Solanum lycopersicum: one gene and its partner. The protein of the gene in region 1 binds, or shares a complex with, the protein of each later gene. Links are inferred from orthologs where the notes say so. Each region holds a gene or a part of one and is shown on either strand. Other genes may lie near its edges.

What was found.
Region 2: protein LEO1 homolog (region 1) and protein PAF1 homolog share a complex: the UniProt entries of both Arabidopsis thaliana proteins name them as parts of the nuclear PAF1 complex. The link is inferred for Solanum lycopersicum from reciprocal best matches to the Arabidopsis thaliana genes VIP4 and ELF7.

Annotation. Positions count from the first base shown.
Region 1 is NC_090802.1:61,885,694-61,889,584, forward strand, and holds the start of protein LEO1 homolog, read right to left. Parts: upstream 3,045-3,891; 5' UTR 2,933-3,044; coding exon 2,810-2,932; intron 1,737-2,809; coding exon 1,294-1,736; intron 955-1,293; coding exon 822-954; intron 745-821; coding exon 568-744; intron 167-567; coding exon 1-166. UniProt on the Arabidopsis thaliana protein: Component of the PAF1 complex (PAF1C) which is involved in histone modifications such as methylation on histone H3 'Lys-4' (H3K4me3). Involved in regulation of flowering time. Required for the expression of the flowering repressor and MADS box gene FLC.
Region 2 is NC_090802.1:66,089,886-66,093,713, reverse strand, and holds the start of protein PAF1 homolog, read right to left. Parts: upstream 3,050-3,828; 5' UTR 2,532-3,049; coding exon 1,618-2,531; intron 977-1,617; coding exon 908-976; intron 1-907. UniProt on the Arabidopsis thaliana protein: Component of the PAF1 complex (PAF1C) which is involved in histone modifications such as methylation on histone H3 'Lys-4' (H3K4me3). Involved in regulation of flowering time.

The DNA of each region.
Region 1 (3,891 bases):
CATCAGGCTTCCTAACTTTCCTCCATCGAACAATGTTGTTAACTAAGCTGAGGCGCTTCTTGGATCCAGATTCATCAGTCACGAAAGCATCTTCTTCAACGTATGTCTCTGGATCAAAGGGCTTGGGATCAATGCCCATTATGTTAGAAACCTTGATCATGCTCATCTGCATCATAAGAAAGTGAACAAGTAAAAAGTTCAGGAATAAGCACCAAATGATATTTTTCAATCATTAAGGTTCGGGTTGATAAAAAGGCGGAACGATAATGACAAACATGAATGAAGTTTTAAATATATCACAACTCCACATGAGCAATAGCATCTTGTGGACCAATTGAATTTGCTAGTTATAAAAAGAAATAACTGGACACAGTTTAGCCTGATTAGAAGTTTCTCCAATAGAAGCTTAAAATCTATCCAAGGTTTTCACAGCGGATAAGACATAATACCTTGGATTTAAAGAATCCATGTTAGAAATTGGACAACTCAGCTGCAAACTAAGCAGGAGGGGGGGTGACACGAAAATATTGCGGAATTACATCAGTAGAAACAAGAAAGAGTACTGACGTTATCTGAATAAGTTGGTGGTGGACGCAATGGGATCTCCAGCTCTAATGGGGGCCCAACTGGTTTTTCCTTAATTTTAGATTCCACATGCTCTTCTTCAGACTCGTATCCACCATCATCTTCAGGTATTATATCTTCTTGCTGCAATTTGCCGTAGCTAGTTTCTTCATCCATTAACTGCAATGAAAAATATTTTAAATCCCTAAGTGAACCAAACAACTACTAAAGTTGAAATGTGTAGCACTTGTACAAACATTTTGCTCCTCATCAATTTTATTCCGAACGACATAATCAGCCTCTTCTTCATCCTCTGAATCCCCAAACACATCACGAATCTCCGGAGCAGAGGATAAGTGGGCCTCATCTTTCTCTTCCCCAGGAGATCTACTGCAAAACAGAAGATCACTGTGATAAAAAAAAATTGGATGCTAAAAAACAACATAGAGAAGAATTCCATTTTCCAAGATGAGAAATCGAAATTCCACCAACCAACTTATGCAACCAAACCTTTTATAATATGTTTTATGCTATTGTCCACATGCTAATTGATATCAAATGATATGAAGATTTTACAATAAATAAACCCTAGCAGAATCAGCAATTAGCAGTTGCAATAGGACTCATGAGCTGATTATGAGAATACCATAACATAAATCTACATTCTCCCTGAGCAAAAACATCAGGAGGAAGGGGGGAGATAGTAGAGACAGGAAGGAACAGCAATACCTTGGACTTCTTGCTTGATTTACTTCCTCGTCTTCATTGTCACCGTAGTGGTTTTCCTCAGATCTTTCTGACTCACTGTCAATTACATCCCGCCTCCTACTAGTCACTACTCTTTGACCATATTCTTCTTTTTCATCACTCTCTGACTCTCTTCCTTCACTTTGTGCCCTCTGATCACCAACCTCTATTTCCTGAGAACTCTGATCTCTTTCACCCTCACTCTCTCCATGCCCAGGATCAACTTCTTGCATTTCACCTTCACTCTCCATCTCAGCTTCCCCTTGCCCTTCTACTTCACCTTCAACATCACCATCTCCTTCACCTTCACCTTCACCTTCACCATCATCATCACCTTCACCTTCACCTTCACCTTCACCTTCACCTTCACCTTCAATATCAACTTCTCCTTCGCCTTCGGGATCCAAGCCTCCATCCCCGTCATCCTGAAGCAGAAAGAAGTAGCAAGGAACAGTTTCAAAGTCCAAATGTTATGTAACCAAACACAGAGAAGAATGAAAAATGTGAATTCCAATTCCAAGAAGCAAAGGTAACATTGACTGGAATTATGAAGCTTTTATTTTGTTTGACCAAGACATAAACACATGAGAGCATGTTAGATCACTTCAAGTAATGTCCTCAAGTAGAGGGCTGAAACAATCAAAGAAAACTACAGTACTATGGCCCAGTAAATCTTCATACGCTACATCTATAAATAACACCAATAAGCAATAAGACTGCGCATCAGAGATTATCATCCACGATTCCAACCATCGGTACAAAATGTATATACCGACAATTATAGGAAAAGCATCCCCTAATTCTTGTTTTCCAAATAGGATTCAACTTTTACAAATTCATTCAATAGGAAATTCAAAGGTAATACTATAAATAGTGTCTCTTTCATCATTCATTCAGCTAACATGCCATAGAACAAGTAAGTTCGTTCAAACCACAGAACTGGCTACACATATTCAAGATTATTCAAGATTCCTTTCCTTGATTTTTTTCCCTTCATACAGCAGTACTAAATTGCACTAAACCTGTTCATTTATCCCTTCAAAATCATTCTTGTACCCTTAGAACCAATAAACATACCTTATATATAACCAATTAGGGCCAAGTTCAAAAAAATCAGCAGAAAATCAAACAAAAAAATATAACATTCATTCACCGACTAAAAACTCAACAAGAAAACAACTCGATTAATCAAAAACATCGAAATTCAGATTAAAATAAAAAAGATCAAACAGATTATTCAAGATTCCTTTTCTTGATTTTTTTTCCTTCACATTAGTACTAAATTGGAGTAAAGCCCTTCTAAAATCATTCTTGTACCCTTAGAACCAATAAACATATCTGATATATCACCAACCAATTAGGGCCAAGTTCAAAAATTCCGCAGAAAATCAAACAAAAACATATAGCATTCATTCACCGACTAAAAATTCAACAAGAAAACAACTCGATTAAGCAAAAAACATCGAAATTCAGATTAAAAAAAAGAAAAAAATCGAACCGAAGGCTGACGATTGGATTCATGTTCGGATTCGACCTCCTCTTCTTCTTCCTCCTCCTCTTCCGATTGGTCACCGAACAGGTTTTGCATCATCTGATGCCTCTTCTTCTCTTCACCCACCATGGCTCCTCTTTGCTTTCTCTCTTCAACTCGCTGCTTTTTTAGCCTTTTTCCCTTGAGTTTCTGAACACTGTTTTGTAACGCCTCTCACAAACTGTGTGAAGCTGAGTAATATCACACCTGTATTAAAAGGTTTCCCTAAACTGACTGACAGTCACAGATAAAACATGACAAACCAATGATAAATTTAAGAAAATATAAAATAATTAGGTTTTCCAATTTTTATTTGCTTGTCTTTTTTATATTTGTTACAAGCGGTGACCCATTGCGTACTTTTCACACGTAGCATCTTAAGCGGTGATGGAAATTGTCTGCGAGCGAAACAAACTGTGGGTCCCTGTTTGTAATCTGAGTTGGATTTATTCACAACAAAGTCAAAAATGTTTTCAAACTTATTTTGGGCTTTAGTTCTTTTAAGGAGAAGTCATAAATGTCCTTACCGATCGTTTAGTAAAATGCATTACAAAAATAATATATACATTAATTTTAGAGATAATTATATATAGGGAAAATTGTATATAATAGCAAATTAATAACCTAAATTAAATGGAATAGCTAGGGTTTGATTTAATTGTGCTCCATAGCAAACATTAGCTAAAATTTGTCAGCGTCTCTCTCCCAAAAATCTCGCTCGTCTCTCTCGCTTTATACACAGAAGTGTATAATTTTGTTTCTGTTTTGTATAAAGCGAGAGAAAATTGTATATACACATGCAAAAATGTATATCTTTGTGTTATACACTTAATTATACAATTTACAAATATTTTACTTCAAATATTGCAGAGAAAAAGGCCAACGAATTATACAATTTCGAATTATACAATTGCAATGAAATACAATTTTCTCTAGCTTTATACAACAGAAGTGTATATATTGTGTTTCTGTTTTTGTATAAAGAGAGAAAAACATATATCTTCTTGCTATACACCTATAATTATGCAATATACATACATTTTAATTCG
Region 2 (3,828 bases), about 4.2 Mb from region 1:
AGAGTTGCTTCCCAAAAGAAAGGACATGGAAAGGGAAGAGAACCACAGGATGAGCTTAACACGCCTACTCTAGTGCAGATGAAGTTAGTAACTACTAAAACAAAAGGTCATTTGTTACCCATAAGTGTTAGTCCTTGCTCTCAAACTTTAAATGCTCAACAATGTAAATCAAATAACTGCAATGACTAACATCTAACATGAGAAATGTAGCAATAACCATAAAAACAATAGTTGATTGGTTAATAGGTAGATAGCAATATTATTATTCAAATATTGAAGACCAATCTAGGAAAAATTCATGCCTAGTATGATTTATAGTGAGCACGGCAATGCTGTGCAACAACAACAACATACGCAGTGAAATCCCACAAGTGGGGTCTAGGGATGGTAAAGTGTGTGCAAACCTTACCACTACCCTGTGGAGGGTAGAGAGGCTATTCAACAACTGAAAATCAACAACTGAAAATCAACAAAGTAGGCAGCTTGATAAAATAGTTTAAGAGAGAGAAGATATAGCTGTGTCCACGTCCCATTCTCACACCAACAGCGACAGCCTAACTACTTCTGGATCAGACTAACCAGAGGTGATGGTTAAAGCACAATTCCAAATTAGGCATATGTAGCAAACCAGCAATCCACGATAAAAATGTTCAAGGGGAAAAACACAAAAGGCTTGTGAGCAGTGCTTGGGAAAGAAGTCTCATTTAACCCTGACAACCTTCACAAAAGGTGCACATTCTAGATGGAATATTTTGTGTAAATATTTTTTGATAAGCCATTTTGTCTACATATAAAGAGCATGATTTGCTTAGTTTTTTCTAGTTTTGTCAGAAGATGCAGTTGCAGTTGAATTGATCATCAGAAATACAAGTGAAAGGACCAGCACAATGAAAGGAGAGCCACAAACCGATCTGGGTCTCTTCTTAAAGTCAAAAGCTTTGGTTGCGCTGTCGGATCTGGTAATTCATTTCTGAATCTGCAGAGAACACACAAAAATTACAGAATGCTCAGCAATATTTAATATGTAAAACAACTTGTTTGTCCCATATGATAGCATACCATAGTCTTTTCACAAATAATCCTAACAGAGAAAGGAACATTTTCAAAGACATGACATAATAGAAGAGAAGTCATTCAGTAAATAACTAAATACACTTACCATTTGAATAAATGATGTTCATTAAGTTTATCACCAACCTACCCTAGGGAACAAACATCACATGTAAAGTTCACCCTTACAACGACCCAAACTGAAACCACACCGACAAGAACAAATTTGAACAGAACTAGAAGAAAGCACAAACTAAAAAGGATCTCAAAGCATCGCAACAAGATGTCATGTGCTATGGGGGTGAATGGTAAGGTTATAGTTGCATGCTTAAAGGGTTATTTATCGTCTCATTACAAGGAAAGTCAAATCATATAATGGTATGTAACATTCCGAAGTATCCCAAACTAAACATTACTTTCGACCAACCAGTGTGTTTGAAAACTCCAATCTCCAGCAGAGCCGACACTAGAAAATATCAGGTAACTAATCCAACATAGAAATAGAATAATTGGAATATTTAAGGATCAAACAATCACTTGGCTGTAAATCCAGAATTAACGTCTTACTTTAACTTGCAAAGAAATGTTGTCGGCTTCTTCAACCGGTTTTCTGTCCTCTCTCCACTTAACAAAGGGGTGGTTCTTCTGTCAGCCATATGTGATGCGCTGATCGACCCATGACCCTTCGTACCAGAAGTTAACATTTGGGTTTTCTGCAGAACCTTATTCTGTGATTCTTTCAAATGCTGCCTATTCTTCTCTTCATGCCTTTGCTTTTCTATCTCTCTCTTCTTCCTTGACCTCCTCTCTTCCTCAGTCTCAACCCTTCCTGAATGAGCATTGGATTTTTTCATTGGCAATGGGGGAACAGAATGGTCTGGCTGTTTAGAACGAGCAGTGTGGTTACCATGCCTTGATTCACGCCAACCAGACTCTCGCCTTTTCTCTACACTGTGCCTGCTTTCATTACGTTGTTTCTGAGGGGGAACTGATGAAGGAGGTGGCGGAGGGGACGGTGGCTGAGAAGGTGGGGGAGGAGGAGGAATAGCAGAAGTTGGAGGAGATGAAGGTGGAGGGGGTGGAGGTGGGGGCTCCAAGGGATGGTTTTGGCTATACTGGGAGTCCTGAGAAGATGGATAATACATTGGAGCAGGAGGGGGAGGAGGCTGCCCAGAAGGTGGTGGGGGAGGTGGATATGAAGAATCCGCAGGAGGAGGAGGCGGAGGTGGATACTGATTTCTGGTGGCAGGAGGTGGAGGAACGTAACCAGGATGCTGATAATTTGAACCCTGGTGTACCTGAGAGTAATTCTGCTGAGCATACGAAGATCCATCATTCACCCCATAACCCCCCCAATTCTGCGAGTACTGACTTCCCCTGGATTGAGACGGCGGTGGCGGAGGGTTCTGATTCTGCGGAGGCGGTGGCGGAGGAACAAAACTCGACTGCGATGATGGAGGAAATGGCCTATACGAAGCCATGGGACACTCAACAACAACTCCTCCAAATGCAAACTAAAACCCTAGAACCACAAAATAAGCTCTACAATTCACAAATCCTCTTTCTTACCACTTCAGATTTACCTATAGCGCGCACACACAAAAAAAAAATCAAATCAAAAGAACCCTAATGAAAACAAAACAAATAATTCATTGAATTCAGCATTCTCAAAATCCAAAAACTGGGTAACCTAACCCAATACAATATTGAACCCCTTCTCAATTCTGCAATTCAAATTTGATAATGGAATTCGAATTCGAATCAATCAAATGAAGCAGAAACACAGAGAAAACGAATAGCAGTTCAAATTAAACAAGGAATCAATTGGAACATGAAGAGGGAATTTGAGTAGGAGACAAAGTGTTTGTTTAGCTCAGCAAAATTGGCACTTGAGTTAGCATCACCAATATATAGCCGTCGCCTATGTTTTTGCAACTTTCCCAAAAAAAAAACAAAAAACTTTCTTTGACCAAATATAAGAAAAAATTACTCTTTTCTTGTCCAATTCAAATTTTGCACATTATTTAAAAATTAAAAATGATAATTAATATCACTTACTAATGGTGAAAAATAATTTGAAGAATAAGTAACAATCTATTTTTAGAATAGAATAAAGAGAGTAACATCAATTTCTAACGAGACACGAGATTTACATGTTTATTTATTCACAGAAAAGTATTCAGGATTTCGAAATAATAAGTTCATTATTATAAAAAGGCGAATCTATTAGATCTGATATTTAGATTCTTGTTACTGAAAACAGTTAAAATTTTGAATTACAGTTAGATTCTTATTAGTGACAATGGTTAGAATTTTAAATTACAGTTAGATTCCTATTAGTGACAACGGTTAGAATTTTAAATTACAGTTTCAAAATTGAAATGCTTAATAAATTAAACCGCCAAAAAATTGTTATCAATATCCACCTATAAAGACGTTACTAAATCTTAAAAAGAAACATAGAACAATTTAGATATAAAACTCAAATTTCTAATCTCAGTGAGAGGTGCATTCAATCATCGTCGCATTATATGATACATCAAGTGTGATCACACATTTATGTTTAACAAAAAATTAAGAAAAATATACAACATTACTATTTCAACTGGAAGCATGAGTTTATATGAACCCGATAATTCCCTCCTGCATACGACTCTGTTTATTCATAATACTAAAAATGAATGTTCACTTTTACTTGTTCAGTTTAGTAAACAAAAGATATTTTCTCACTTAATTTCTAATTTATTTTTATTATTAATTATAAAATCATTTTTCTAA